4 linked regions of the Coturnix japonica genome follow. The main gene of each other region encodes a partner of the protein of the gene in region 2 in a complex. Links are inferred from orthologs where the notes say so. Each region holds a gene or a part of one and is shown on either strand. Other genes may lie near its edges. The genes, in order: DYDC1, DNAJB13, ROPN1L and NME5.

What was found.
Region 1: DNAJB13 (region 2) and DYDC1 share a complex: the UniProt entries of both Homo sapiens proteins name them as parts of the axonemal radial spoke complex. The link is inferred for Coturnix japonica from reciprocal best matches to the Homo sapiens genes DNAJB13 and DYDC1.
Region 3: DNAJB13 (region 2) and ROPN1L share a complex: the UniProt entries of both Homo sapiens proteins name them as parts of the axonemal radial spoke complex. The link is inferred for Coturnix japonica from reciprocal best matches to the Homo sapiens genes DNAJB13 and ROPN1L.
Region 4: the proteins of DNAJB13 (region 2) and NME5 are in contact, whole or in part, in a cryo-EM structure (PDB 8WZB), measured with the Mus musculus proteins. The link is inferred for Coturnix japonica from reciprocal best matches to the Homo sapiens genes DNAJB13 and NME5. Residues at the interface, in NP_705755.2 of Mus musculus: Thr156, Lys157, Lys158, Thr181, Ile182, Asp183, Arg185, Trp188, Arg189, Gly191, Thr192, Arg193, Ile194, Thr195, Phe196, Glu197, Pro281; in NP_542368.2 of Mus musculus: Glu52, His53, Asn56, Met193, Lys199, Pro200, Lys201, Leu202, Cys203, His204, Phe205.

Annotation. Positions count from the first base shown.
Region 1 is NC_029521.1:3,508,566-3,516,466, reverse strand, and holds DYDC1 (DPY30 domain-containing protein 1), read right to left. Parts: upstream 3,966-7,901; 5' UTR 3,884-3,965; exon of another isoform or gene 3,836-3,883; intron 3,669-3,835; exon of another isoform or gene 3,666-3,668; 5' UTR 3,660-3,665; coding exon 3,513-3,659; intron 3,401-3,512; coding exon 3,278-3,400; intron 2,737-3,277; coding exon 2,665-2,736; intron 1,852-2,664; coding exon 1,561-1,851; 3' UTR 618-1,560; downstream 1-617. Other genes in the region: EXOSC3 (exosome complex component RRP40), read left to right, coding at 4,009-4,284, 4,358-4,507, 5,452-5,603, 6,832-7,033. UniProt on the Homo sapiens protein: Functions as part of axonemal radial spoke complexes that play an important part in the motility of sperm and cilia. Plays a crucial role during acrosome biogenesis.
Region 2 is NC_029516.1:175,175,647-175,183,348, reverse strand, and holds DNAJB13 (dnaJ homolog subfamily B member 13), read right to left. Parts: upstream 4,220-7,702; 5' UTR 4,111-4,219; coding exon 4,043-4,110; intron 3,928-4,042; coding exon 3,824-3,927; intron 3,372-3,823; coding exon 3,210-3,371; intron 2,868-3,209; coding exon 2,710-2,867; intron 2,560-2,709; coding exon 2,446-2,559; intron 2,363-2,445; coding exon 2,249-2,362; intron 2,050-2,248; coding exon 1,973-2,049; intron 1,828-1,972; coding exon 1,674-1,827; 3' UTR 1,618-1,673; intron 1,533-1,617; exon of another isoform or gene 1,528-1,532; 3' UTR 1,374-1,527; downstream 1-1,373. Other genes in the region: mitochondrial uncoupling protein 3, read left to right, coding at 418-519, 597-777, 868-973; PAAF1 (proteasomal ATPase-associated factor 1), read right to left, coding at 4,581-4,658, 5,319-5,401, 5,773-5,855, 6,320-6,435, 6,904-6,995, 7,300-7,494. UniProt on the Homo sapiens protein: Functions as part of axonemal radial spoke complexes that play an important part in the motility of sperm and cilia.
Region 3 is NC_029517.1:52,305,969-52,313,702, reverse strand, and holds the start of ROPN1L (ropporin-1-like protein), read right to left. Parts: upstream 4,210-7,734; 5' UTR 4,079-4,209; intron 4,073-4,078; exon of another isoform or gene 3,893-4,072; intron 3,806-3,892; 5' UTR 3,779-3,805; coding exon 3,648-3,778; intron 2,603-3,647; coding exon 2,479-2,602; intron 2,314-2,478; coding exon 2,152-2,313; intron 1-2,151. UniProt on the Homo sapiens protein: Functions as part of axonemal radial spoke complexes that play an important part in the motility of sperm and cilia. Important for male fertility.
Region 4 is NC_029528.1:3,793,339-3,801,036, forward strand, and holds the start of NME5 (nucleoside diphosphate kinase homolog 5), read right to left. Parts: upstream 4,990-7,698; 5' UTR 3,515-4,989; coding exon 3,386-3,514; intron 2,219-3,385; coding exon 2,013-2,218; intron 1,674-2,012; coding exon 1,573-1,673; intron 585-1,572; coding exon 466-584; intron 1-465. UniProt on the Homo sapiens protein: Functions as part of axonemal radial spoke complexes that play an important part in the motility of sperm and cilia. Does not seem to have nucleoside diphosphate kinase (NDPK) activity.

The sequences.
Region 1 (7,901 bases), on a different chromosome or scaffold from region 2:
CCTTCTATGACAAGCGGATAAAGGAAAGGTAATAGATACGTCATACACCTGGACTGCTGCAAGGCCTTTGATATGGTCCTACATCACATTCCTGTCTCTAAATGGGAAAGATATGAAATGGATCAGTGGACTGTTCAGTGGATAAGGATTTGGTCAGCTGGCCACCGGCAGAAGATTGTGGTTGACCGTTCTCTGTACAAGTGGAGGACCCCAGAGGTTCATCTTGGGACCAGTCTGTTTGCTGATCAGAAGGCCAAATGTGTCATGAGCTGCTTGAAAGAGGAATGAGGGTGGAGGAGATTACTGTCCCCCTCTACTCTGCCCTTGTAGGCGTAATCTGCAGTACTACACCTGTGGCAGGGTTGTTTAAACTAGTTTTAAGGTTCCTTCCAACTCAAGCCATTCTATGGTTCAATAGTAATAGTAATAGTCTCGTGTGGGTTGGAAGGGACCTTAGAGATCATCGAGTCCAACTCCCGGGATTCGAGCCTCTGTGCTGCAGAGCGGCACTTCTACCACTTGCGCCACAGGGGGGATTCGAACCCCGGGCCCTGATGTTGCAAGGCGGCATTCCTACCACTGCGCCACCGGGGCACACTTTGATTCATTTGCACTTCTGGTTTTGCAATTCATTTCATTAAGGATGTGTAAAATACACCCAGAGCCTCATATATGGCTTTTAATACTCGGTTGCCAGAAAATGATAATAAAAAACAGGACTAAGCAAGGCCTTGAGATCCTGTCACATTTACCACTTGGCAAAATCCAAATAATTGAGGAAACTTTGCCCTAGTCATAAATACATTCACAAATGTATTTGCAGGGCTTTTATAAAACAGGTTGTTACTAAAGCAAAAGTGTGCTAATACCACAAATTTCAGTTCTGAGCTGGGATTATACTACCAGTATCAGAAAACAAGTGAGCAAATGACTGAGGCTAACAAAGGAAAAAGGGCTCAGCTTCAGTACTAAAACCAGTCCAGCCAAATTCCAAGTCACACTACCTAGAATATCATAGCTGAAAAAAGCTAAACACACTGATATTTATCTCCAGTGATGTGCATAAAGCAGCATCATCTGTTTAATGTACTGCCATGCTTTACAGTCAATGACAGTTGATTTATACCCTCTCATGTACTAGGATTGTCAAGCACAAAGTGAATAAAAAAATAGGGGTGTAGAAGATGGCTGCATATCACAATTTAGATTGATAGTTGTAGTTTTGGAATAAGTACTGTCATGCTGGCACAGGGTTTGGATAACCTGATTCTTAGCAGGTCTTTGCTGCACTGAGCACTGTGCGCTTGGTACCTGGTCTTTTACATTAAATAATTGTTCAGATATCTCTGCGTTCTGCTGCATGAACAATGTACTTCAGACCAATCAGAATAATGTAAGTCATTTCATTCAGAAGCAAGACAGTGTTTGTGATTGAGTCTGTGTCCTGTTTGACACCTGCTCAAAAGGCGAAGGAAGGCTGCTTCTTGTCTGAGAATATTAATACATCCATTCATAACACACATGACTATAAAGGGGCATTTTAAATCTTTGGCACTTTATTCACTCAGCACCACATAAGCAGCCTTTCAGAATGTACAGCCTAAGGACAGCATGAAGACTGTGGCCCAAATAATATCCCTTCAGATTGTAGTAAAGAACCGGTATAGGGTTAACTAGAACAGTCTTAGTCTTCCATTTGTCAGCAAGAAAATGTTTGAGCATTAATTCCATGTAACCTTTTTCTTTCCAAACACTTACCTCAGACACTCCACTCTCATCTACTTCCTCAACTGTGGGCAAATTAGGTGCTCCTGCTCTATCTGTAAGTTCAGCTATTGTCTTCTCATCTTCCTGTAGTGGAAATTCATTTTCAATTAGAAGTATTCCGTGTCATGAGCAATCGTCTACAGTGGATACTTTGAACATGCTTTGAAAATGTAGTTTAAGTATGAATGTAAAGACAATACTTCAGATGCTTGCTACACAAATGTGTTAGTGTGCAAATGGGGTCTTTGTGCATGTAAAGACTGTTTTTACAAAGGTTTCAGGGTTCTTTTTTGCTTCAGTTTATAAACGTGCATACTTCTGTTACATTTACAGTCATTCTTCTAGCTATGTGCTATCAATATCTCAACACAGTGCTCTAAAAATATCTCTATTCTGCTCCAAGTAAAGTTAGGAAATGTTTCACGTCTAAGTGTCAATGATCAATCTGTTTTACCAAAACAGCATCATATGACTATGTATTTATATGGAAGACCAAAAAATCAAGAGGCATCCCACCTCCAAGTGTTGGTTCCTTTTCCAGGTGTGGCAAATGGGCTTCACGTTGCCAGGCAGTAAAATGTAACTATCTAAGCATTCATGTTAGACACGTTCAAGTTCTAGTATTTTATTAATTAAAAAAAAATCTGAACTTAAGCTACATTTTATAATAACTTTATGCTCTGTTCTGAATAAAAGCTAAAGAAACCCAATAGAACAGATGAGAATTCAAGTCTAAAACCTAAGCTGGAAAGAAGCATTAAACGTTCTTCCCTAATGTTAGCTTTCTGTTTTGTTGTGTTCAAGGCTTCTGCCTTGTGTTCTGTATTTAGGGACTGGATCTGAATAAGAGAGATGATTAACAATATTTCTTTATCTTGACTAAGCTTTGGCTTAAACCTCTGGATCTTTCTGCTGCTCCTGCATGTTCTCTTCTTTATTCTGCTGTTCCATCTTCTCACGTTCTTGTTCCTATTGTAAAGAGAAGACAGCTGAAGATAGCGTATATGCTTTTGATACTCAGTTCCTCGTGCTCTTTAGTAGTTAATATTTATATCTCCTATACTTTGGATTAGGCTCTTTGAAGCTTTGCACAGCATCTATTATAGACAGACTAATCCATATAGATTCTATGGGAGGAAAAAATAGCTAAGATAGTTAACTGCAGAAGACAGTCTACTTATCCTAATCTAATTTTCTAACATATCTTTAGTTAGTTTCTCTTTAGCTTAGTCTCTTCATTTTTGGTAACATCTTGTCATGTAGCAGGTAAGTTTTTCTCCCCAGCTGCTCAGCTGTCCTTTCTAATTCCTTTCGAAATAATGATATTTTCAAAACGCAATGTTTAAGCACTTTTTGTTATCTTTTCCCTTTCAAGATCAGAATACAATTGTAGGTACTTTCCAACATTCTGATTCTCTTATGATTCTATGTTGATAATGACTACTATTGTAGTGAGAGCTACAAGTTGACCCAGCATCACACGCTACTATAATTATGAACAACTATTAACCTGCCGTTGTTCTTCAAGTTTCTGTTGTATCAGTAGCTCTTCTTCCTTCATTTTTCTTAACATTTCAAGTTCTTCCAGGGCTGCCTGCCGTTCTTTTTCCAGTTTGGCCCTTTCCAACGTTCTCTATTTCAGAGGTAACAAGAAATCAATGAAAAAAAAAGGAAACAAAACACAAAGAGAGATTATACAGCATCAGTTAGATTGACATGAAATGCTTTGCCCGAGGTAGACCCACCTTCTTTTCTTCTTCTAGTGTTTTCTTGTAGTTGTAGATCCAGTGTGCCAGGTACTCTATTGGGTCAGCGGGCCGACGCTCCACAACCTCCGCCAGACCCTTTTTCAAGCAGCTTCCCAGACATCTCCTCAGGTATTGAGACTCCATTCTCACCTACTGACAAACCGACAGATATTAGTCACCGATATCGGAATTCAGACAGCAGTTAGAGGAAGTGTTGACTGCATCACATCCCCAGTGTGATGTTGGTGGTTTTATCAAAGCTCATTTCATCAGGCAATTAATATGAGAAGGTGGTAGCGGTGCTGTCCCCCGTTCCCTACCGCTTCGCTCCTACCGGCCCGATCGCACAGCGCGTCCAACCGCGTTACCGGGCAACCGCGCTCCCGGCTGGATCCTGCGTCAGGCGGCCGGGCGGTGTCGCTGTCGTTGCGCTCTCGGCCCTTCCATCGCCGCCGCCATTTTGCGTCTGCTTCCGCCGGAAGGGCCGCACGCGATGGCGGGTGGGGGCGGCGTGCCGGCGGAGACCCGTGTGGGACAAGTGGTGCTGCCCGGCGATGTGCTGCTGCTGCCCGAGCACGGAGAGCCCGACCTCGACAAGCTGCCGCTGGGCACCAGCGCGGCCCCGCGGGGGAGGCTGCTGTGCGGGCCGGGGCTGCGGCGCTGTGCGGGCGGGCTGCTGGTCACCAAGTGCGGGCTGCTGCGGCACCGGCAGGCGGGCGGCGGAGCGGCGGCGGGCGGCGCCTACTGGGTGGACTCGCAGCAGAAGCGGGTACGGCGGCAGCGGGCGGCGGGGGGCGGTGATGTGCGGGACGAGCCCGCTGATCGCTTGTACCCGCTTGTAGTACGTGCCGGTGAAGGGAGACCACGTTATCGGCATCGTGACGGGCAAGGTGGGGGACGTGTTCCGGCTGGACGTCGGTGGTAGCGAGCAGGCCTCGCTGTCATACCTGGCCTTCGAGGGCGCGACCAAGAGGAACAGGCCCAACGTGCAGGTAACGCTGCCCGCCGGGAGCTTGCCTTTGTAAACGGTGTTTTTACCACTCGGACCATATAAACGAGGAACGTGACTTTTTTCACAGAGCTTTTGTCATGGCCTGTACGGGGTGTCCCGATGAGGCCGTGAGTTTTTTCTGTTTTCTCCGGAGCTTTTTGTGCTTCTTCACTTCTGACCTTACACCTTTCCCATCGGTTAACAGTGGCAGGTGCTACTCGTGCAGTAACGTGGGTCCCAAGGGGCCACCCTGAGGCTTTAAAGCATCCTCTGAACGCTGGTGCTGGTAGAGGAGGGTTTGCTTTGTAGCATTTACAAGTTGTTTTGTGATATGTGCGTTCACCAGAAACACTGTCAGCATGGTGTAAAATGGGCTGTGATTTTAAATGGAATAGACTGGTATGGCTTCTGGTGCGCCTTCTGAGTAAAGAATTGTTTCCTAACATGTAACCTTTATCTCCCCTCTGTTAATTCAAAGCCATTCCCCCTTGTCCTGTCACTACTAGGCTATATAAAAAGTCACTCCCTATAAGCACTGGAAGGCTTCGATGGGGTCTATCCAGAGCCTTTTCCAGGCTCAACAAGCCTAACTCTCTCAACTTTTCTTCACACAAGAGGCGCTCCGGCCCTCTTCTGACCCATTCCAATGGTCTTGTGTCAGGGGCCACAGGCTTGGACAGAGTACCCCAGGTGGGGCCTCACAATGGCAGAATAAAGGGGTCAGTTACCTCATTCACCCTTCTAGCTATCTTTCTTTGGATCCAGCCTGGGATCCCATTGGCCTTCTGAGCTGCAAGTGTACGCTGCTGGTTCTTGTCCAAGTGTTCATCCAGTTTACAACTGTTTTGTTGTCTCTTTATGGACTGAATGTTTCTTACAAATGTGCATTGTTATCTTCTCTAATGATTCTTTTTTTTTGTTGTTTTCTGGCACTGCTTGCTTTAGGTGGGAGACCTTGTTTATGGTCAGTTCCTTGTAGCAAATAAAGACATGGAACCAGAGATGGTCTGTATAGACAGCAGTGGAAGAGCAAGTGGAATGGGAGTAATTGGACAAGACGGCTTCCTCTTTAAAGTTTCCTTAGGTCTGATAAGAAAGTAAGTACTAAGAAAACCAGTTGTACTAAAGTGTTGGGGTTGTTAAACTTAGCATGTGTCTAAACAACACACAGTCATTAGCTCCTCTCCCTCCAGACCCTGTCCTGCTTTTCCCTATAGGCTTGGGAATAGAATCGATTAAAAAACAGACACAAAGTAGAATTCATGGGTTGAGATAAAACTGTTTACAAAGAGAAAAGAAAACAAGATACTACTTAAGAGAAATACATATATGTGAATGTATATAGGAAGTTACCCACTGACTGATGCCCAGCTAGGCCCCAAGCAGCAGGAGAGAGAGAAAAAAGGACTCATGTCCCATTCAAAACTTTCCTTTTGCGTAATGTTATATGGTATGGAATATCCCTTTGGCCACTTAAAGTCAGCTGTCTTATTTCTATCCCTTCCCAGCTGCTTGGGTGCCCTGCCCTGTGCTTCCGAGATCCTTGTTAGTTCCCCATCCCCCAGTTGGTAGGATGGTAAGAGAGAGTGGGGAAAAATGAAGTATGCTTGGCTCTGTACAGCAGTGTTCAGCAACAGCTGGAAATACAGGTGTATTATCATTGTTTTTCTCCTAAAACCAGAACAGCATCTTAGCAGGCACTGAAGGAGAGACAATTGTGTGCAGCTGAAACTGGAAGAGTAACATTTTGTTTTTAGGTAGGATATGCACAGCTGTCTCCAATTCAAGTAGTGTGAACTAGCCAGTAACTGCTATGTGGCTGTTGTGCTGCATTTATGCCAGTTTTACTGGGGAAAGGATGCATGTACATTGAACTAGAAACAGTGTGTGACTATCATAAAATACCAGCTGATAGTGATAAGAGATGGTCAGACTAGTTGTTGCTTTGATGTTGAGGGAGGAGAGGTGAGCATCTGTTCTTGGAGATAACAAGTAGCTATGTCATACCTGGGTTTAGTAAGTAATTTGGTTTATGTGTCTTATCAGTGTGAACAGCTAAGTTGTTTTTCAGCCTTGTTCTTGGTAACTCTTCTGCCTAATTAGGAAAACAGCTACAGTGCACAGGTGCTCTCTTTAGGTGCATGTGTTTTGGGAGGAGAACTTCAATTCTGATATGGCTGGATATGCAATTTGAATCGTCTTAACTTTTGGAGTTGCTTTTGTAACTCCAGTGCTACTGTTTAGCTGCTGGCTGATAATGTTGTAATACTTAGCGAACGTGAGCATTCACTTTTTCCTCCAACCCTTTCTAATCTTATTTTACAGACTCTTGGCTCCCAAATGTGAAATAATTCAGGAGTTGTCCCAACTGTACCCAGTAGAGCTGGTGCTGGGAGTGAATGGAAGAATATGGGTAAAAGCAAAAACAGTTCAACAGACTTTAATTATAGTAAATATTTTAGAAGCTTGTGAGCATATGACTGCAGAGCAGAGGAAACAAGCACTCGCCAAACTGTCGGGGAATTGAGTAAAAGAAAGTCTGAAGGTTTGCGATTGCTGTAGGATGTTCTGCTTATTTTTGTATTCAGATTTATATTAAAAGTCACACTAAATGAAGTCCTAGATGTTTTTGGTGGTTCTTCTGTTCCCTTTATGCACTCAGCTGGTCCTACCGTATTTAGGATGCCTTGTGGTTATGAAATACTGTCCATCGTTGTGGATTTTGACTGGTGTGGAGATGGGCTTGAAAAGCTTCAATTAATGGTGAGTTTTGACATGAAGTTTTTCCAGAACAAAACCGGACAGTTTATCAGCTGGGTATATTTGTTTTTACTAGTTAATAGTAAAGCTTCCAATGGTACATGTTTACTTGGGGTAACTGTGAATCATCTATTTTGGTCAAGTAAGTAATTGCAGGGAAGTAATTGCAGGGTGTACCTGCAAGTAATTACAGTGTGCTTCAGGTAAGTCTGAACTCATCATCCCAGTGGCATTAAAACTTTCCCTGAAAGATAACCTGGCTAATAGTATCGATGAAGCAGAGCTCAAAATATAACTTCAGTATGAACATTCGGGAACCTTGATGGTGAAATGGAGGTATGGTGAGGGCTGCTTTGAAAGTAATGCCTCCTGTTCTGTTATGTTGGCCCACCATGTCAGAGGTCAGTGATGGTATGGCAGTACAAGTTGAATCTTTAATATTCCGCTACACATTGTTGCCATGTAACAGATGGCAGTATAGGGGCAGTCTGGCTAAGTGGTGTCTGACGTGGAAGTGCTTATGAAACAAAGATTTGGAATTGAGCTCCTCCATGCAAAAGAGTTTGCACTCATTGCTGTTTGTTGATGCTTGCTGAATGTTTATGCAAACCAGACAGTGGATGTGCACTTGCAGC
Region 2 (7,702 bases):
CTTGTAGCATCAGAGGAGTTAGGGTGGGAACTCAGCCCCCATCCAGCCACAACCCCTCCGTGGGCAGGGACACCTCCTGCAGCCCTGGTGTCTGTAGCTCCATCTGTGGCTTCGGGCACTGCCAGAGAGGGGCACCCACAGCTCTGGGCATCAGTGCCAGGGCCCTCCTTAAAGGTGAGATCTCTAGGAGAACTGTAGGGATGTGGCACTGAGCAACACAATCAGTGGGTGTGGTGGGGCTGGGTTGGTGGGGTTGGGTTGGGGTTGGACTTGGGGATCTTGGAGGGCTTTTCCACCATTAATGATTCTATGAGCCCCATCTCTCAGCCCTGAATGGAGACGAGGGATGGGGATGGGAGGACAGGGACGGTGGCACTGGGGCACCCAGCAGTCCCAACAGCACCACACTCCCCACAGGGACGATGCCCAACATCGCCCGCAACGCCATCATTAACTGCGGCGAGCTCGTCACCTACGACCTCATCAAGGACGCGCTGCTGCGGGCGCAGCTGATGACGGGTGAGGATGGGACTGAAGGCACAGCCCTGTGTGCCATCCCCATCCCCATAGCCCTCACACCCCATCCTGCCCCACAGACAACATCCCCTGTCACTTCGTGGCCGCTTTCGGGGCTGGATTCTGCGCCACAGTGGTGGCGTCACCGGTGGACGTGGTGAAGACGCGGTACATGAACGCGGGCCCCGGGCAGTACCGCAATGTGCCGAGCTGCCTGCTGGCCCTGCTGCTGCAGGACGGTGTCGCTGGTCTCTACAAGGGGTGAGTGCAGCAACACCAGCCCCATATCACCGCCATGTCACACAGCGCTGACCGCGGCCGTCCCCTCCAACGCCGCCGTCCTCACTGCAGGTTCGTCCCCTCCTTCCTGCGCCTCGGCTCCTGGAACGTGGTGATGTTCATCTCCTATGAGCAGCTGCAGCGCCTGGTGATGCTGGCCCGGTCTGCACCGCCCTGATGGACCCCAGCCCCAAATCGTCAGCGCTGATGAGCTGCAGCAGTCAATTATATTAATTGCTGGAGCGGCGGGGAAGGGAGACAGCAAAGGTCCCCCTGAGCCTATGGGATGAGAGGGACCAAAGGTGGCTCGTGAGGGACCAGCAGGAGGAGAACAGACAGAGAGGGAGGATGGAGGTGACCAGATGGAGGTATATGGATGGATGGAGGTGTCTGGATGATGGAGGTGTGCGCAGCGGAGCAGGGAGAGGAAGGAAGAAGGCCTTGAGGTTTTCCAGTTAGGAGCTTCCCAGCAGCAGTGGGATGGACAGGTGGGGAGGAGCATTATGGCATGGGGGATGCGGTAAGTCCAGGTGTTCCTCACTGATGCTTCAAATAAATCACCCCTATGGGGTCTATCCCAGTAGTACTTGGGGTTCTGTCACCTTCTCTTTATTAGAGGGGAGGGTGGGGTTTTACTCCCGGTCCGGAGCTGCTGTTGGGTTCCAGCCCTCGTGGTCTCTTCCTCAATGATTCTGCTCTTGCCAAAGGGGAGCAGCCCAACAGCGGGGAGAGCTGCAGTGCAGAAGGAAGGGAGGAGAGCAGTGATGGGTGCAGCAGAACACAAGGGGAGCAGAGTTGGGCTGCGGGGAGCCCCGTTTGTACCTCACTCTCAGCACTGGCGGCCTCAGCGGGAGGAAAGCGGGGGGTGGCAGCAGCTCTTAGGGCAGCAGCGCTCTCTTCAGGAGCACCTTCTTGTTGGGGCTGAGACGTTTGGGGAAGCAGACGTTGAACTGGATGAGGAGGTCGCCCTTTTGGTGCGGGTCCTTCAGCAGCGGCATCCCTTCCCCAGGCACCACTTTGCAGTAGGTGGGGCTGCAAAGTGAGAGGGAGCTGAGGGTGGGAGCCCCCAACCTGCTCCCAAAGCTCTTGGAGCACCCAAGAAACCCAAGAGGAGCAGCTGGCAGCCCACAGAGGTTCCTCCCATAGCACCCATCTGCCTGCAGATCTGCACACTCACTGCACGATGTCATTGATGGGGATGTTCAGCAGCCGCCCATCCAGCGTCCTCACTTCCACTGTGCAGCCAATCAGTGCCTAAAGACACAGAGCAGGACCAAGAGCTGCAGATGCGGCCACACAGAGCCCCCCATCATTAACCATGGTGCCAAGGACAACTCCCATAGGGACCAAAGGGGCCGAGGCTCCGAACCCGGCGCTATCCTCCTTCTGCATGTTTTGCAGTTGCTGGCTGAAGGCAAAAGGCAGCTGGACGCCCCCTCCCTTTGCTCCTCACCTTTCCCAGGGGGATGTTGGCCACGTAAATGAGGTCGTCGTTGGATCTTTTAAACCTCGGGTGAGGTTTCTCTTGGATAACGAAGATGATGTCGGCTGGAATGATGTTTGGGCCCTAAAAAGGGGGATGGGGGTGGGAAAGGAGCTCTAGGAATGGTTTTATGGGCCCAGCCCACAACTTCAGGTCACAGAGGTTACCTGGTCTCCTTCCTTCTCAAATGTGATCCTGGTGCCTTGCTTCCACCCCGGCTGCACGTCGATGATCAGGATCTTGTCCCTGATGGTGCTTGTTTGGCCGTCTTCGTTCATCACCTGCAGGGTGGATGAGTTTGGGGGGATAAAGGGAAACCTCTGCTGTCAGAACAGCTCCAGGCCGGGCTGGATGCACCCTGGTGCAATGCAATCTGCTGGGGGGAAGGTGTAGCTCATCCTGCCTGGCACAAGGTCCCTCACTGTCCTTACCCGGCGGGAGATCTTCATCTTCTTGGTGCAGCCAAAGAAAAGGTCTTCGAGGGAGACATGGAGGTCCCACACCATCGGGGGGTCCTGCTTCATCACACCTCTTCCTCGCAGCCCTCCAAAGGGCAGCGTCGCCTCCACACCATCCTTGGTGAAGAACTCTGCATGGGGCAGCATGGAGGATACGGGGCTCCAAACCACATTCCCAGTGTGAATGAAAGAACAAAACTTGTAGCAGAGAGGAGATGGAGATGAGATGATGGTAATATTTCACTCAGAGGGTGGTAAGACCCCGGCACTGCCCAGAGCTGTGGGTGCCCCATCCCTGGAGGTGCCATAGGCCACAGATGGGCCCTGGGCAGCCTGAGCTGGGGGCACCCATAACAAGGGATGGGGCTGAGGGGGCTTTGAGGTCTGTTAGGAAGAAGTTCAGGGGCTGGTGATGAGCACAGCCCTAAAAGGGCACAGGCTGCCCCATGGATGGCAGCAGAGCAGCCACCCACCTGCAAAGGGGTTGTGTCCTCCAAAGAACTCCTTGAAGACTCTGTCGGGGTTGTTGTGGAAAACATAACCAGGAGTCCAGGCATCCTCACTGCCAGACTCCACAGGGACGCCGCCTTTGAGACCTTCTTCACCGAACCGATCGTAGATGCCTCTCCTTACAGCTATGGGGCAAGGAGAGACGGGGAACAGATATCTTACTGAGAAGGACGCGCTCAGAGCGGCCCTGAGGGGAAGGAGGTGGGAGTTGTGGTAGAGAAAAGCAGGACATGAGTAATCCCAGCACATAGGGCCAGCAGTGCTGCACCAATAGAGGGAAACAGGCAGGAAGGGAATGTCCCCTTCATGTGAAGCACTGCATTTAGACCTGGGGCCTCCAGCACAGGAGGGACGTGGGGCTGTGGGTCTATAGGAGGACATGGGAATGCTCAGAGGACGGAGCCAGGCTGAGGGGGATGTTCAGCCTGGATGAGGCCAGGCTGGATGTGGCTCTGGGCAGCCTGGGCTGCTGGTTGGTGACCCCACACACAGCAGGGGGCTGGAGCTGGATGAGCACTGTGGGCCTTTGTAACCCAGCCCCATTCTGTGACCCTATGGACTCATCCCCGCTGCTTACGGTCGCTCAGCACATCGTAGGCCTCCGCCAACAGCCTGAACCGCTCCTGCGCCTCCGGCTCCCTGCATTTCTGCGGGTGGTTCTCCAAGGCCAACAGCCGGTACCTGCGGGATGAGGAGCACAGCGAGGCCTACAGCCCCCGCTAGGCCCCATGCTGGGATTGAAGCGGCCATTCGCCCCCAACCCGCCCCCAACCCACGTCTATCCACCCCCCCTCACGCCTTCTTAATGTCGGCGTCCGTGGCCTGGCGGCCCAGCTCCAGCACGGCGTAGTAATCCTGCCCCATGGCGGCCTCCTCGCTATGGTTACGCAAACAGAGGATGGGTTACCAAGGCAACGCCTGTAGGCCGCACTTCCGGCTCTCTGATATATTTCCGTTTCCGTTAGCGCGGAGCACGATGGGAGTTGTAGTTCTTTCAGCGCCACCCACCGCCATTTTGTACCAAACAACCCACTCGGAGCTTTAAGATTAACACCGACTTTTCCTCCACACAAACTCTATGAAAGCGGCTTTATTTCAGCCCACAGCCTCGATTTAACACCCAAATCCACCTCACAGCAGATAAAAAGGGGCTGGAAGGGGCAGAAATGAGCAGAAACAGCCATAACATCAGCCCCATCCCTCCCTCATAGACCCCATAGACCCCATAACACACACAGCCATGTTGCTCACAGACCCCATAACACACACAGCCATGTTGCTCACATCCCCTATAACACACACAGCCATGTTGATCATAGACCCCCCATTAACCCCTACAGGTCTCCCAGCTGGTACCGCCGCACCACGCCGTCCCTGCAGCACGTGTAGATCTGCTTCTCCCACTGAGCGACCTGAAACAAGGAGGGGGGGGGGAAATAATGCAATAAGCCAACAAAGCTGGGTGGGAGAACACAATGAGGTTCAATAAGGCCAAGTGCAACTGTGTGCTGGGCTGCATTTAAAGGGGTGGCCAGCAGGGACAGGGGGGTGATTGTCCCCCTCTACTTGGCTCTTGTGAGGCCCCATCTGCAGTGCTGCATCCAGGCCTGGGGCCTCCAGCACAGGAAGGACGTGGAGCTCTTGAGTGGGTCCAAAGGAGACCACTAAGATGGCCAGAGGGCTGGAGCAGCTCTGCTATGAGGAAAGGTTGAGGGAACTGGGCTGGTTTAGCTTGGAGAGGATAAGGCTGCGGGGAGACCTCATTGTGGGCATCCAGTACTTGAAGGGAGCGAATAAACAGGAGGGGGAACAGCTGTTTGTGAGGGTGGGCAGTGATAGGACAAGGGGGAATGGTTTGAAAGTGAGACGGGAGGTTTAGGTTGGATCTTAGGAGGGTTTTACACCCAGAGGGTGGTGACGCACTGGAACAGGTTGCCCAAGGAGGCTGTGGATGCCCCATCCCTGCAGGCATTCAAGGCCAGGCTGGATGTGGCTCTGGGCAGCCTGGGCTGCTGGTTGGTGACCCTGCACATAGCAGGGGGTTGGAGCTGGATGAGCACTGTGGGCCTTACCTTGTACACAGGGTCACAATCTGCCTCTGTGAGGTCGATGACATAATCGAGGTCTTGCTGAATGATAAAGCACGTTCCATCACCTACGCAAGCAGAAGGAACACCAAGGAAGGAAAGAATATTGGGTGATGAGTAAAAACAGGCCACGTTCTTTCTATAAACAGCACTATGAGCCCAGCAGAAATGCCCAAGAAAAGGGAGACATGTGATGAGAAAAGGCTCTAATGACTGAGAAGCTCCTTGCAGGCCATGATATGGGGGAGCACAAGAAAAATCACAAGGCAAAAAGCAACTACGTAATAGGATGTTCCACTACATCAACTTTTTGCAATGGACACTCTGTGAAACCCTCTCCTAGTGGCTCGGACATCCTGTGTTTGTATGTAAGAGAGGGCATAAGGAGCAAAGAACTGCTCAGCTCAAGTCTATGATCTGCACACAGCACTTGAGTTACCTTGGCTGGCAATGAATCCATCTCTGTATGGGAGCAGAGAAAGCACTGGTGCTCCTGATCTGTGAATGATTTGGATTGGAGCACTGGAAAAAAGAGGAATGGGAAGAAGAGCGTTATGGACAAATCATCCCAATGTCTGAGTGCTGAAAGCAGAACGTGAGGTAGTGATTAAAAGATAGACAAGGAGAACATGGGGATTATCCCTACCAAAACAGCCACAAGTTTGGAGCTTATATGATTGAAAGACTTGTCAGATTATTCCATGCCAGGCTCCTCTGTCCTCACCCATCCATCTGGATGCTCCTTGCTTAGAGTCTGCCCTTTACAACAACTACAAGCCACCTCAGAGCAGCTCCTGCCAAAGCATCCTCTTGAATGCTACCCAAGAGAAGGAAAAGGCTGCAAGGGGTTCCAAAGCTCACAGTGCCACTGTCTGGGCTGTATCCACCTCCACTGTCTGCCAGCACCTTTGATCTGACTCTTCCTGGGAGGAAAACAACTAACCACAATTGTGGTTCAAGACTTGCAGCCCCACGTATGTACTCACTTGGTGTTTCTCACATCCAGCTGATAGATGTTCCCATCCTGAGTCCCTGCTAGGAAATAGGTACTTGAGAGGAACGTGCAGCAATTGAAGGCATCAGATCCATCAAAGAGGAACACCTGGGAATATAAAGAACGGCAAAGTGTGAGATCTCACAGATGTGCCAAAGCAGCCACAGGACAGCCAGGAATAGGACAGCAATTTACTCAGCTTCTGTTCCTGCATTCTCAATGACATCTACTGGCTGCTGTTTAGCTTGCCACATACCTGCGTGGAACACACAAGCAATTCTTACTCCTCAACCCCCCACGTATAAACCTAGCCAGAAAAAAAAGGAGAGAAAGGATCCCTTTATACTGGTCTTTAGTCTCTCTTTCTCTGAATAAATACAGGGGAGAATACTGCAACTTGGGACCCCAGCCAAAGGCAATGCTCCCCAGAGAGCTGGATAGATAGCAGCACCTGAGCACACTCAGGGGAGTGCCACAGGACCTGGAGCACAAAACCAGTGTGTGCTCAGTGCTGGTTCCCATCCCCTCCTGCACAGGGTTATTTTGAAGCACTACTGATAGTCTCAGCCTCCTTACCGGCTGCCTGCTCTGCAGCCCAACTCCTTGCAGCTTCTTGTCTTCTCGAGCCAGCAGCAGGATTTTCCCTTCCGTCCCAATCTCACGTTCACCTGAGAGGAAAACAAAGTTTAACCCCAGCAGCACAGGGAGACGACAGTCCTCAAGTCTGATGGCTGGGATCACAACTGCTGAACCCACAGCAATATCCTTCTTATGCAAAGCAGGCCAGTAGCCAACAAGACTGCAGCCTTAATCACCCAAACTGGAAGATAAGGCTGAATTCCTCCATAGAGATATATGCTGGTGACCTAGCGAGGGCATAAAGCTGCATGCCACGCTCTCTGAATGACACCTGCAGCACCAGCTGACAAAACTAAGGGAAAATAAAGGCTGTCCTTTAAGAATGTTCCTTACTGGGAGCTTTTTCAGGTGTGCCCAGGTTCACCGAGTCGTCAGCAGTGCCCACAGCGATGCCATTGATGGGAGAGCCACAGTCAGCAATGACACCCAGACACGAGGATTTGCCGCAGTCCCAGAGGCGTGCAGTGCCATCCCTAGAGCAGGAAAGGACGTTTCTTCCCCGATCCACAATGGCAGTATCCAAAATACCTGCATCAAAGCAAAGGCTGAGTTCAGAGACAGCACAGAAGGTAAAGGCTGAGAAGGGCATATATTTCCCCGAGGCAACCACGGACCCACCTACAAGTCCCAAGGCATTGGCTCCAAAGAGCCACCAGAGAGCACAGCAGGGGACAGAGGTGGCACACAGGCAAATAATGGGAGGTGCAGCACAGGGGAAGGGAGCTACAGCCTTTGA
Region 3 (7,734 bases), on a different chromosome or scaffold from region 2:
AGCCTCTTCTCCCATATAACTAGTGACAGGACTAGAGGGAATGGCCTCAGGTTGCACAAGGGGAGATAACAGGTTGGACATTAGGAAAAGTTTTCTTCTCAGAGAGTGGGCAGGCACTGGAATGGGCTGCCCAGGAAGGTGGTGGAGTCACCATCCCTGGAGGTGTTCAAGGAATGCTTAGATGTTGTACTGAGGGACATGGTTTAGCGGGAAATACTGGTGGTAGGTGGGTAGGTGCACGGTTGCACTGGATGATCTTAGAGGTCTTTTCCAGTCTTGGTGATTCTATGATTTATCAAACAGTGCAGGTTGTGAAAGCAAAACAATAATAAAGTTCAAGTAATAAACGGGAGTAAAAAAAAAAACCACAACTTTGTAATGTTGAAAGATTGCACCAAGTTGTCTGAGCTGTATCCAAAACGCTCAACAGCTCAAACCTCGCTATCTGTCTACGTGTATATATGAGCTCATGGGTCTAAATGGGTTTGCAGTGACAGTTAAGATTGATAGACAAATCTAAAACAAACAAACAAAAAAATGCAACAGTTCCATGTTAAATCTTAGGAATTATAATATTTACTATTTTCCCTCTTTGTATGCAAGCTCCACTTTAATAGTGGAAAAAACCCTGAAGCAAAAAGAATCCAAAAAGCGTCCAAGTTCTCTGTTGAACAAAAACATGCCTCTAAGTGTTAGCTCAAAGCATGCTTTGAAAAAATGCTTTATTCCACGTGGTGCCTGTAATCCAGTACCCTATCCATCCCAGGCTATTAAGGGACATGTGGAAAAATCAGGCATGAAATTTGATTGAATCAAAGGCTGGTTGGATACTATTAAAAACTTACTTTCCTCAAGCCCCACAAAGAAGAAAGCAAAAAAAAACCCAAAAACACACAAAGAAAAAGACTTTTGTTAACCCAAGAAGTCATATTTTTGTTAGAATTTCTTCAAAATTTATCTTAACTTCTTCATCAATAGGCAAGCAATGACTTTACAAATATATATTCAGGAATGTAAACTAAAATTGGAAGAAAAGAATGTAACAATTTGTAAGCCTTTCTGGTTTAAGCTGAAGTTCAGGTTTTCATCGTGCAGAGATAAAATCAAATCATTTTAATATCTGAAAGGATGGATAAAGGAAGTAAATTCAGGTTGTTCAGCTCCATCAGAACAAGGCTCCTGGGACTGCTTTTTTGTTTCGGTTGTTTTCTTTTCTTGTCATCTGGTGGTTTTTGTTCTGTTTTGTTTTTAAGTAACATTGCTGTTGTTACTACTACTACTTTTTTTTTAAGTGAAGGAAAGTAAAAGAAATCACCAAATCCATTTCTGGGCGGGGCTGGAATCAAGAAATATGCCCTTCAGGTGGACAAGTACAACTGCATGGCCAGACTGGGTCAACCAACATCACAGAATCACAGAATTGTAGGGGTTGGAAGGGACCTCTAGAGACCATCGAGTCCAACCCCTCTGCCAAAGCAGGCTCCCTACACCACATCGCACAGGCAGGTGTCCAGTTGGGTCTTGAATATCTCCAGAGAAGGAGACTCCACTGCTTTTCAATAACACAACATTCTCAAAACACTACTGGGCATTTGTTTTCTTCTTAGTACCCCTTCTGCAGTCTTCTAATTTCATACTTCACAAGAACATCAGCTTAGTGCGAGCATTTCATAACAATTCATTTGCAGCGCTCTGCTGAGACTTTATTACTGACATTAGAAGAATTAAATGTAGATTTAGTAACATTAACTGCTTCTGTGAAAATGTAATTGGCTGCACAATTAGAAACTGATGTTTTAATTTCTCCCTCCAGCTCTTCTCTTTTGTCTATTACACTGATGCCATAAGCATTGTTCCTCTATTGCCTTGGTTGAGCTGCCAGTGGACATGCCTACTGTCCTACTGCCACATCCCAGTAAGCATGAGGATAAGCCCTTACTGCTTAAGCTCTCCTTCCAAAACAACCTGTAATCATCATACATTATCATTAGTGGCCAGCCAGGAAGGTTCCTGCTGTGAATGTTAGGCCGGAGGAGGCTAGGAGCACCTAATCTAGCTGTAGGTGCTCCTGTTCATTACAAGGAAGTTGGAGTAAATGAACTTCAAAGGTTCCTTCCAACTCACAACAGTTCTATGATTCTGTGGACATACCTCACCAAGCACGCTGCACCCGAGTGCCAGAATCTTCATCCACTCCACCTCTTCATCAAAGGTGTCCAACTCCAGGATAGCTTCCAGCTGCTCCTCTGGCAGGCACAAGTCTTTCCATTTTTCCTTCAGCTCTGCAACACTTACAGTGCCTTTAGCGGAAAGCTGTAAATACAATTACAGTGCCGCAATAAGAACTCTGAAAAAGAATGAAACTAAGAAAAACAACCCTTCCCAAAACGCATCAAATTTTTGACAGTCATCTACTAATCATCTGGCATGTTTTCTGTCTAAGACAAACACACACATTTGATAAATGTCTGGTTGTACCTGTTTGTGCAAGACTTTAAGGAGTCCCGGGGTCAAACCAGCATCCATCTTCTGTTTTGCTGAAGGTGTTTCAAGTCTCTCCTTCACTGGAAGGGGCTCGCCTTTGGACAGTGCTGTAAAGTACCTGAGTGAATGGGAACAGCAAGGCACTCCAGTACCTAGGATGATTAAACACTATGCCTTTCTTTTCAGTGGAAGACAGTTTCTAGACATCACATACTCCTTTTTATCATACTGTCATAATTTATGAGTAGTTTAACTTATTTTGATTAAGGCAGAAATAAATTTATTAACACCAAGAGTATGCTCGCACAACTGAAGCACAGTCTTTTCCCATTAGATTGATGAGTACCTTTCCAATTTATTTAGCTGATTTATTTAGCGTTCCTCCCACATGCTACCTGTGAAGCCCAACTGGCAATATACTGCAATGCTCACATAACCATTTTGTCTACAGGTCTACACACTCCAAAATAAAATTCAAGGACAGTGTAGAAAGAGAATTCACAGAATCACAGCATTGTAGGGGTTGGAAGGGACCTCCAGAGATCATTGAGTCCAACCCCCCTGCCAAAGCAGGTTCCCTACACCACGTCACACAGGTAGGCATCCAGGCGGGTCTTGAATATCTCCAGAGAAGGAGACTCCACCACCTCCCTGGGCAGCCTGTTCCAGTGCTCCATCACCCTCACCGTAAAGAAGTTCTTGTGCACATTTGTGCGCAACTTCCTATGCTGTAGTTTCATCCCATTACCCCTAGTCCTGTCCCCACGCACTACTGAAAAGAGACCAGACTCACCACTATGGCTCCCACACCTCAGGTATTTATAAACCTGGATCAAATCCCCTCTCAGCCTTCTTTTCTCAAGGCTAAACAGACCCAGTTCCCTAAGTCTCTCCTCATAGGGGAGATGCTCCAGGCCCTTCACCATCTTAGCGGCCCTCCGCTGGACTCCTTCCAAGAGATCCCTGTCTTCTTTGTACTGAAAAACTCGATATGAAATCTTTAAACTAAAAGGCTAAACCAAGTACTATACTACTATTAAAAGGCCAACAGGTTGTGTTATACACTGAAGAATGCAACACTGCTCTATACAGTCAACAGAAGCATTGGGTCTTTGTGGTTCTGTGCTGACAGTGCTACATGGTTATGAGGATGCCATACTTACGCAGCTGACCACTGCAAAACATCATGAGGCTGAGTCCTAATAGCAGCTTTGGTGAACTGTTTGATAATGTCTGGTAGCTCAGGGGGGATTTGGATCTGCTGAGCACAGAACAGGGTGTCTGGAAGAGGCATGGTCTTCTCAAGTTCAGTTACGTGGACCTGAAGGGATTAACAATAAAACAGATGTAGGATGACAACAAAAAACTGCCCGCACAATGTTTACACCCAAACTGCCCCCTTTCTTACTGAGCCTACCAGAGTACCTTAATCTTGATACCAAGCAAAAGCCTGCAGATGGAGCCCAACCACAGCTCTAAGCCCAGACTACTTCTGCTGTCAGCAGCTGCCTTTTGCTAAGTCTTGATCTTCCTCAAGATTAATGCAGCCGCCGCACCACCCCTAGCTCGAGGAAGCCGCTCAGCCCCGCCTCACCTTTGTTTGCGCCGCCGCTGCCCCGGCAACGAGCGCACCGTGACAGCTGAGGGGGCGGGCGGATGGGACGGCGGTTTGCGGCCCGCCTCGCTCAACCGCGGGTGCAGAGCCCGTGTTTAACCCGTGTTTAGCCTCGTTTGTGAGGAGGCCGAAAGCCACATCCAGCCTGGCCTTGAATGCCTGCAGGGATGGGGCACCCACAGCCCCCTTGGGCATCCTGTTCCAGTGCGTCACCATCCTCTGTGTGAAAAACTCCCTTCTAAAATCTAACCTAAACCATGCCCCTTTGGCACTGGCCACCAGTCAGGCATGAGGTATCAGAGGAAAAGAGCTCTCACTTACCTTGTAAAAGCTCATCTCCTTGTCTGTTTTTGAAGACAGTTTCTGTTCTTTATTTAAACTTTACTATAAGAATTCAGTTCGCTGTTTTATGTCTTTATTATTTCATCATTTCTTCTGGGAATCCCAGCCATTGCTCAGACCATACAGCACCTATACATCACAGTATCACAGTCTCACAGTCTCGTGCGGGTTGGAAGGGACCTTAGAGATCATCGAGTCCAACCCCCAACATAAGGCAAACCTAACAAGAACACGGGCTTGGTCACAGGAAACTTACAGTAGAGGTACAAACAAATGGACAGACAGTGAAGTAGAAGAAAAAGCCGTGTTGATCAGCCTGCTAGGCAGCAAGATCAACAAACCACTGCCATCTGTGTTGTGCAGGAAAGGGCTTTTCACTGAATTCTCTGAAGAATAACAGGGCTGCTGTGAACACTTTTATGAGGACCTTTGCTCAAGCATAGGGAAGGGAGAGCAAGGGAGGAATGCGCCCTACTGAGAAATGATGCAAAGTGCTGCAATCGGGGCTGGAGTTTGCATCCTACTGAGAAAGCAGCTGGCAAAATAGTTACAGGCACCAGAGGGCCCTCAGAACATAAACAAATTACTTAGGCTTTACCCAGTGGAGAAGGGGTAGTCAGAGAAAACATGTGAAGTTTTAACTATTTTTAATCAATATAAAAATATTCTGTGTAAAAACAGTCAAAGCCATGCTGCAGTTAAGTAGGCAAAAGATAGCTACAAAGCCATCTGACAGCTCGTGGATAAAGGCCTGTAGAACTAACACCAGCAGACGCTCAGTACCCACAGAGCCAGTGCAGCTAAGCTGGTAGACAACTCCAATCCCTCCCCCTTCACTACTTAAGATCAACAGAGACTGTAATGAAGTCACACACAGCTTCTCCCACTCAAAGAGTAATGCAAAACCACTGCACGCTATATCATGACTCTGGAAGTCACTCGAACACAGCTTGTCATCTGTCCTAGCAACAGACAGCTCACTGACAAGCCTACTATCAAGTTTCCATCGCAGGAGAGTACACACAGCACAGCAAGGCAAACTATAACAATTTTAAACAATAATTAAAAGAAATCATTTAATTTTATATATATATATGTATATATATACACACAACCTTCTTTCCTAGAACATGCTTAAAATAAAGAGATGAGATATTTTGGACTCTTACAATACAGTTTCAGAAACTTCACCCCATCCGTGATCTGTAGAGTAGTGCAAAAGCAAGCTCGAGTTTCATTTGAAACCTGTTCTCATTAACAAAGAGCAAATACAGATAATGTAAGCTACATTAAAATAGCTACAGTTCACATTACATGACTGGATCGACTTCTTGTTTTTTGGTTAACATCATGACTTAACAAAATTAACACTAATAAGAAACAGCACAATGGCTTTTTCTTAATAAATTTTAATGTTAAGACCAGTTTTGATAAAAAACCCACCAAAGTTACACAAATTGCACTACTGCAAATTCTGCACGATGCACAGCAGTGCTGCCAGTGTTGGAGATTTGGGGAACTCTTTATGAAAGATTTGCCAAGGCCAGAATTTTTGGCAAAAAATAAGAATGTAAGTTAGCAATGAATTCAATCTTGTGGAAAAAACATCCTTGTCCCACGAGGATTTACACCACTGGAAATATTCAAATGCAACACTTACGCGGATCAAAAATATCTGGGGGTGAATACTCAAATTAGCCTCTAGTCAGCGAGAATGAAATACAAACATCTTGGCTATCTTCTCCATAACTTCATTCAACTGGAAACATCCTAATTAATCACTCCAAAAGCTATCAGGAAAACAGTAACTCTGTAAGAAGTAGTTTCCGACCTCCCAACAGTGAGGTTCAATGCGTTCTGATACATTTCATTTGTGCTCAGAACATGAGTCCAGACACCAAGATACGCGCTACCACCATCATATTCTGGACCAAACCAGTTCAAAACACATAGATCAGAGATGCAGCATCAATAAAAGGAGATGACATGCTCTAAAAACCTGCCAAATGCTCAAGTATTAATTAGATACATATATAGTTAAGTGCAGAATACTGAAGGACAAGGTACTAAGTCCCAAACTTAATTGTTTCATCAATTTTCTGATTACTGCAGTGGATACTTGTATTCTCTCATCTGGTTTAGGAAAAACACTGCAGTTTAAGCACTGATTCGATGGTACTTAAAGCTCTGTGAATTCTCTTTAAAAGATATATATTAAAAAAATGACTGCAAAAAAACTCTTATCTTCATACAGAAACGACACAAACTTGATTTAGTGCCTCTTGCTGGACTGCCCCTGCAAAGAAACCTGTTAACTTTTCCTTGCCTGTTTAATGGCAGATATAGTAGCATATAGATTTCCCTTCTCTGCAGGCAATTCATGCTATCTGATGAATGCTTTCCTCAGGATTACTGCCATGAAAAATTCACACTGACCCATTCTGAAAGAACACACTTGAAGTGTAACTGTATAAATAAAACCCATGCAGTAGTTTGCAACTTAGGTAACTCACAGGAAAGAAAAAAAAAAAAGATTTCAAGCTCTTTAATGAAGGACCAGATCAGAATGTTGCTTACACTACGCTCTTTGTTTCTGTGCAAACACATCGATAAGATTCGACCCTTCACTTGGGGGTCACAAAGAATACTTTCTGTTGATTAAGTGGTAAACCTATCTCATTTTGCTCGGTACCTTTAAATGTATCACCTAGAATCACCTAGCTTTAGTGAATTTTTACTTACTGCTTCAGTACAGGAAATCCTGATTCCCAAAGCCCCAGAAATCCCCAAAGCAAAAGAGAAAAACCCAGCTGAGCCTCAACAAGTACATCTGAATTCTCAGAAAAATGACATATTTTCTTGATTTAACAGTAACTGTACAATATTACAAACTCAGACACATGAAAAAAACAATCAGGCAATAGAAAAAATGTACAACAGCTTTGGTGTTATACAAAATAATAAAAAAAGACAGCAAGATACACAGTTCATTACGTTCTCACCACAGCCACTTCACTGCTGACTGTAAGACAGTTGTTTACTTCTCGTATCCTCTGTGTGGCCCTTCCACTCATGAAGAAATCATACTATATTACTACAATAAGAACTGTTATGAACACCGTAAAGTAAGCTCCAGATTTTATAAAAAACATCTTGCCTCTTTGCACTATTGCTTTGTGGCACATTGTTTGTCAACAGAACAACAGTCCAAAATAAAGTGACAACTAGATTTAATAAATTAATAGACTTTTTTTTGTTTGTTTGTTTTTTTAAAAGATGTACTATGCACATTC
Region 4 (7,698 bases), on a different chromosome or scaffold from region 2:
CTCCATCCCTTCTGGGAGCACAGCTAAATTACTCTCACCTGTGCTCCCACAGCTGACCCCACACTTGCCTCAGCTGATTAATCAGAGGTTCAGGCTGTGATTACCAATTTCCCATACACCTTAGAAATATTAAAGTAAAACCTTCCCCTTGGCATCATATGATAGCACTTGCTTTTCTAGACATCTGTAACAACTACGTGTAGGCAATAGTTCTATAGTTGTCACCTAAAACAACCATTTAATGGAAGAGGATTACATATAGCCTTGGCCCTCATCTCAGCAGTTAACAGACAAATCAACTTCTTGAAAGGCAAACACTATGTGACTACCTCATTAGCAGTTAACTAAAACAGCAGAGCACAACACAGCTCTTTTGCAAAAGAGTAGCTTATGTATATACAGGGAACACGAATATTCACGTCAAACATATCACAAAGCATACAACACAGTGCTGATATACCATACCATTGGATCTGCTGGCTTCTCTTTACAAAGTGCAGTGAGTCCAGCTAGTAATGTAGGATATACATGAAGATTCAAGTAATCTCTAACTCTTTGTCCAGCTGGAATTGGCTCTGAGATCGCTGTAAAGAGTAAACACAGGGGTTGGAAAGCAACTTGAGTGATCAAGGAAGGCCGTCTTTCATAGGTTGTTTATAATAATATTAAGGTAAACGGTGTATCATGTAAGTTAATAATATAGTAATAATTTATTAAGATTTTCACACAACAAACTGCAAAGACACCATTTAAATTCCTTTACAATGCCACTGAGGTAATCTTTCTAATTGTAGCCAATTTTGAAAGGATAGAAACTCAGACCATTTGGAGAAACATCTATATCTTTGAAGATTCATTAGGAGGTAGGAGAGAAAGAAAATACCTTATGTTTATTATTTCCTTCCTGCAGCTTGGCTCTGGTTTCTGGAAGCCTTAAATATCTCATGTTAAATCCAGCTTTGCTAGCAAATGTGATGGCTTACATGAGGTAAGGCCTATTGGAAACACAACAAGCTTTTCTACTAATTTCCCCTCTTTCTGTCAAAGACTAAAATCATAATTCCAATGTTACCTTATAAACAAGAGACCATCTCCCAGTTTTCCAGGTACTACGATCCATTTCTCTAGCATTTACCTTAGGAATAGCACTATCATGTGAGTGAACAGTTGCTGTTGAACAGACATTGCTGTTGAACAGACATTGCTCATTCCAAGCCCAAGAGGGACAATCTTCTCAAGCCAATAGGAGTCCCTGGTCTGATCACTGCCTGAAGAATGTGCTAGGTTACAATAGCTTCCAGATTTATTTGCAGTTTTATCTGCTCCAATTCCCAAACTACGGAGTTTGAAAAGTAGAAGCAGTCACTGTAACTATAACAACTCTTCCAATAGAAACTGGTATGCTTTTTGCAGGAAAAAATATCAACATAAATAAATACACATTTGCACAAAGCAAACAAGCCCAAGCCCTTCTGAATTAACTTATATCTAGAATCTGAACAGAGACAATTAATAAGAGAGAGGGATTCTATCCTCCTAAAGGCTGGCAGTAAATTTTTAGCATCATTTTACCTTCTGGAAACATGAATCGAATTTCTCTTTCTGCCAAGGGAATGCTGAAACTGCCATGAAGTCCATTCCTCAGATCATCAGTCCCATAGATTGCTCTTAAACTAAAAGCAAGAGAAAGACCTGCTCAATGGGCAACTGCAAATACCTCTGAAGTGTCTACAGTATGAAAGCAATACACATAGCCTAAATAATTTGTTTTTAAACAAATTAAGTAGGAGATGAAAATTTGCATTTACATATTCATTCAGTGTTCTCAGTAAAATGAGTGAACTTTACATATGCAAAGGTGAAAACTTATGCTATGCATAATCTAGAGATAATATTAAAAATCCTTATCTCGTCTGAAAGAGAGAGAGCAGAAGAAGGCGGGAGAAATCCTGATCTCCCTTTTATTTAAGAGAACAACAGAATCCTTCTGACTTCACCAAAACCAGGCTTACCTGTGAGGGTGAGTCAGCCTGGCTTTTATGCTGTTTGATGGTCCAAGCAATTCCTTCCAATATGAGACTGCCCGATGTCTGGCAAGAACCATAGCAAGTGAAGGTCCAGAGCTCATATAGGCTGCTAAATTAGGAAAAAACATTTTTCCATACTGGTCTGCATAAAAGATGCTACATTGCTCTGGGCTCAGCTGGAGCTTCCGTTTCTAAGAAAAGCGTAAAAGAGAAGAGAAAGAAAAAAGTTTACTAAATAGAGCTGGTTTGCTACCTCAGGTACCACACTGTTCTTTGGAGGCAGTCACATTTTCAAGTGCAAGCTGAAGAGGTACAGGGTAACTTCCCAGCTTAGTCTGATTCTCTCAGATTTGGTCCCCCTTGAGATACAAAGCAACAACAACAACAGAAACAACAAACAATGAAAAGAAAACAAAACAAAGAAGCAACCAACCAAGAGGTTTCTGTGTTATAATTAATACCCGCAGCATTAATTATACAATTGTTCTTTCTTTCATTCGGTGCTTTAGGATTTTCACTATAGCTATCCTGCCTGCAGGTAGCCAGAATTAGGCCAGGTGTAACAGGTTATCCAGCAGAGGGCACAGGGCAGCCTGGAGAGAAATTAACTTATTAAAAACTCCTTTCTTTGAGCCTGCTCTAATGTGATACAGAGTGCTGAGCATTCAGATTCCTATCAGCCTCAATGTCAAAAGTTAATGACTGTAAAGCTCTTCTCATTAAGAAAGAAAACAAAACACACACACGCACACACACAACTCTAATCTTCTGATGAATTTCCTATACTTAAAACAAACAGAAATGTAGAGGAAGAAATTAAAAAAGAACAAGTTCTTTTCAAACTCTTTTCAAACTTTTCAAGGCATTTACGAAAGATGACAGTTTTAGGGAAGCATATACATGTAATACTTGTATCTAGAAGCCTGGTTGCTGCTCAGCCAGTGCCCTCAAAGTTCGGTGCCGAAGGTGCTGCCTCCACACTACTAGGAGGGGGAGGAGGAGGAAGAGAAGAAAGCAAACACGATGAGGACGACAGCGGCACCCAGCGACCAACCCAACCCCACGGGGGGACATGGAAGAAGGCTTTTTGTTTTTGAGTTCATTTGTTAATGAACCCAGTTCATGAAGGAAGTATGGGGTTTCTTCTGTCAGCGAAGTCTGGTGGGTTCTCTTCCATGTCACACACCAACGAAATGTATCCTCGAGGAATCTGGGAGTTGTGGTTGATGACGTGAAAAATATAAACCGATTTTTGGGCAACAGAAGCTTTTAATTATTGAACTGACTGCTGAAAGTTAAGAAGACCATTGACGTGACCCACCAACTGCAGCTGTTATCTCAGGAACGCAGCTTTTTACCTGAACAATCAGGAATCCGGATCTGAGGATGAGATCCTCTATCTCTTCCTCCTTATCTACAACATCAGGTTTGATGAGAGCCAGTGTTTTTTCCACAAAAATCTGAGGTTCTGGCATGAGCCTCTCCATCTTTCTGCATTAGAACTTCTTAGCCCTACAACGACAGCAGTTGATGACAACGTTTATCTCCGAATAGTGTAAGTAACGTGGGATGGTTTCCTGAGACACGGTTCTCCCTGGGTTTTGGCCTCCGTGCCCGTGAGTCTCTGAAGACACGCAAACACACACGGAAAGCTCCCGGTCACCAACGGCTCCTCCGTGCCCGCCCCGTTGCCAGGTGCCGGCAGGGCAATGCGGGCAGCTGCCATTGGCCACAAGATGGCGGCCGTGCCCTGGCAGCGGGCGGCTGCGTGCGTGTGCGGGGGTGGAGCAGAAATGGCGGCCGGGAGCGGCGCTGCCTGAGCGGGGGGAGGCCGCACCCTCGGCAACCGCGCTTTCCGGATCTCATTTGCCTCTTTCCTGAGCTCTAGGTGTGATAAGAGCGTAAGGAAAGGAGTAAAATAGCTTGTTTTGGGGATCTGATGCGTTGTTAATCCTGTGACACAGCTTTCTGTCGGTTTTACTCCACGCTGAAAGCAATATCTCACAGCTGACGCTCATGAACAGAGGTTACGCTGTAGAACCGGTGTTTTGGAACAGAAACAAACTTTTCATTGCCAAAGCCCCCTGCAGGTTCTTTAAATCTCGCCGTGTGGCGGCAGCACGCACGGCACCTCCTGTTTATTTCCCGTCGGACCCGCAGCTCACAACAGAGCGGGCGCTGACCTCAATTCCCAACTCTAGAACACAGTTTCTCAGCACTTTGGATTGAAAGGCATTTTGTCCCCGGTGTTACCCGGTTTTAACACAGAAACAAGCAGCCCGCCGCCCCGCTGAGGCCTGCCAGCTGCTATCGGCTCAGCACAGCCCGGTGGCTGCGATAACGCCAGCACCAGCCCATGGACTCCTCACATTCAGGCCTCTTCCACTGCTGTGTGTTTGCCAGCAGTGATGGGATCCCGGGTGACATCTGTTTGTCACATCCAGCTGGAATTAATGTTCCATTTGAGCCCTTGGGGTGAGATGGACCAAGAGACAAGCACTCATGTCGGCTTCTTAAACAGAGAGAGCTCAACCAGCAGTCGGAGATACTGTAAATGCAGCAACTGCTCACAGATAAGGGAAAGACGTGTTTTGTGAGAAATAAATTCCTAGAAAGATCTGGGAGTTCATCTATTTTTCCTTTTAGTTCAGGGTTAATTCTCTTTGCAAACCAAACGCCTACAAGGCTGACAGGCTGACCCCAGGCTTAGCAGCTCAAAAGCCTCCCTCAGCCCCAGTGAATATTTCCGATTATTACTTAAAAAACGTTGAATTTAATATCCTCACAGAATACTGCTGACTTTAATCTCTCGCAGTTCCTTTAGCTGGGTGCATTTTGCTCTCAGTTAAAAAAGATAGGAAAAAAAAAATGCATCAATATCTGTCCGTGCATCCTTGTCTGCTGCAGCCTCCCCATGAGCAGTGTCCCGTGCACTCCCCATCCTTCTGTGTCACAATTTCTCCTCCTTGCTGTTTCCAGAAGCATTTCTGGAGGGTGGAGATCATCTAATTTTAGCAACTCAGAGAATCCTCTGCTCTCCAATGAGCGAGCTGCTGCATCTGAAGCTGCAGCCAATTACCCGGGGTTTCCTCCTGCTACACTTCCCACGACCGTTTAATAATGCAGAGTTGCACATTTAAAGGGACCCCGCGCATTAAGAGAAAATAACATCGTGTGTTCCCTAACAAAGAAGTAGCTTTACACGCTAAGAGTATCTCAAAGGTTTCTTCTAAATCCTTAAATTCCATAGACCCGACCTTTTAACCCCGTGTTGATACTGTTATTGTACGCATGGTATCTTTGTAGCGCTTTTAAAGCTACTTTAATGACTAAAAGGCTGGTTTGAAGCGTCCTCTCTAACTTCTGTAGCCCAGGGATGTTATTAAGAGCTAAGAAAAGAAACAAACAAAACCTGAAATTTTAATTACAATGCAACAAACCATTTTAAGTCCCGAATACTTCTCCGGGCACAGCTCTGCTGCTGTATCTGACCTGTTAAGCAGTTTAACAAGCCTTGGTTGTCTTATTTTGGGCTGGCATGGAATATAATAACACTATAATAACAAGATTGTGGCTGCAGATGCATTCTAGTAGCAAAGAAATGATGTTCTTAAGGAAAAGATACTGTTTTCAAACTTTGAACTCCAAAAAAATAGTAGTAATCATTGACTGGCTATTCATTTGCCACACAAACAACTTCTGTCCACCACTGACATCATTTTTATTTGCTTCTGTCTCCTACGATGAAGGCTGGGATACCCACACGCAGAACGTGCTGCAGCCGTGCTTGCTTTTGCAGTGCAAAGTGTCTTTGACGGAAATCCTGTGACCAAGCAAACTTCCGCTCCTGTGAGCCCGTTCCCTGCTCCATTTCTTACAGCTAACGACTCTGCTGCAGCTTGCCTACACGCCTGTAATCCGAGCTAACTTTATATTGCTTCTGACTAACACAATTCAAGCCTTCATTTCTGCTTTCATGTATTTGCTACCTCACTACTTTCTTTAAAGATCTTATTTCTACAAGGCTCTAAGTAATAACAAACTTCCTATCTACAGCATGCTCTGCTGACCTTCTTCTATTTTATTTCCTGATCCTCATGCCCACTCTTTCATATGTTCACAGCTTTTGCCACACACTCTCCCTGACCCCCCAGCACCTGCACAGATGCACTTCAGTCTCTTGTAATCAATCGGTTAATTTAATACAACCCCTCCATAGAAGTGCCTCCTCACATCTCATGTTTGTAAGTCTTCCAACCACATCTCCTGCCTGGCTGCACCCTAAAGTCACTTCAATCACAGTTTTGCTTCCTCTACTCATCTAAAAGCTTCTCAACAAATCTTAAACCAAACTCTTCTGTCTCCAGTCATTTTTAGCACGTTTAGCTTTCCTCTTACCTTGGCTTTTGCAATTATTTTCACCTACTGCTGTTTCCACAGCCCAACAGCAACAGCTTCCCTTGTGTTTCTTTCCATGTCTGCAAGAGCACCAGTAAACTCTGATATAATTTCTCTCCTCCCTTCCCTCCTAACTCATAGCTCATTGTCCTAATTGACAAATACAGATACGATTGCCTCATATTACTGCCTCCTTTCAAACTTAAGGTGTTTCCATTGCAATTTACTGTCATGTAATAAGTGTGTGCTAGATAAATGATTTGGCTGAAAACCAACCACTTTTCAGCTGAGTTATTTTACATTTAACTGCACAAAGGAGTAGGTGGAACTTCACAGTCAGGAATGGGAGTTTTACATTCAGATTGGTCCAAACTGCTGTGACTTCTGTGAGTTACTGCCATGGCTGGGGATCCTGCACAAGCTGCTTCTCCTCACCTCAGTTACTGCTGATACCTTTTCCTCTGATCACAATATTTAAACCGTTCCCTTCCTTTCAGAATTTCTGCAGAAGTATTGTATTTTGTAGACCATCTTTTGATGTCAGTTCTCCATGTCTTTCCACATCAAATATTTTCTACTCCACACACAACTTCTGGCTTTCAGTTGTAAGCCCATACACATATTGATCAAGTTCTATTTACCTTTTGTTCCACAAAGAATAGCCCCTACAACGTAAATCATCTGAAGCAATTGAATTCTACTGAGCCATTTTAAAATAGCCTCTCCTGCTCAGTTCCACAGTTCTGCTCAGGATGCATTCATGTTGAATACCTCTAGAGGCTGGCATAGACTCACTGTTTCCTATAAAGCTTCTACTCATCTGTGCATGGGCACAGCACATATACAGATACTAGACATTTACCTTTTACTTCCTTAGATATATATCTCTACCTTGTTTCTATGCAGCATCAAATAGACATAATAGCTGGAAACTGCTGCTTGGAATGGCCAAGCTGAGAGATGGAGATGGGCCTGACCAGAAAAAAACAGATCTCAAAAGATTATATCCATCATCTGAACCTAAGCTTAGACAACAGACTTACTTCTATAAACAGCCACCCATTTTGATCTACTCTTGCTGCCGGTCTATAAACTTGTAACTTCAGAATACACTTCTGCATCCATCTGCCTTAAATATAAAACCATCCAAGAAAGAAAGTAGTTAATGAAGCTTGGCATTACTTAACTTTTCATCCAACCCCCCCACCCCCCCCATTTAAGTCCAGCTGCAGATATCAGTTCAGCCTGAGTGACTTAAGCAAATGCAGGATAA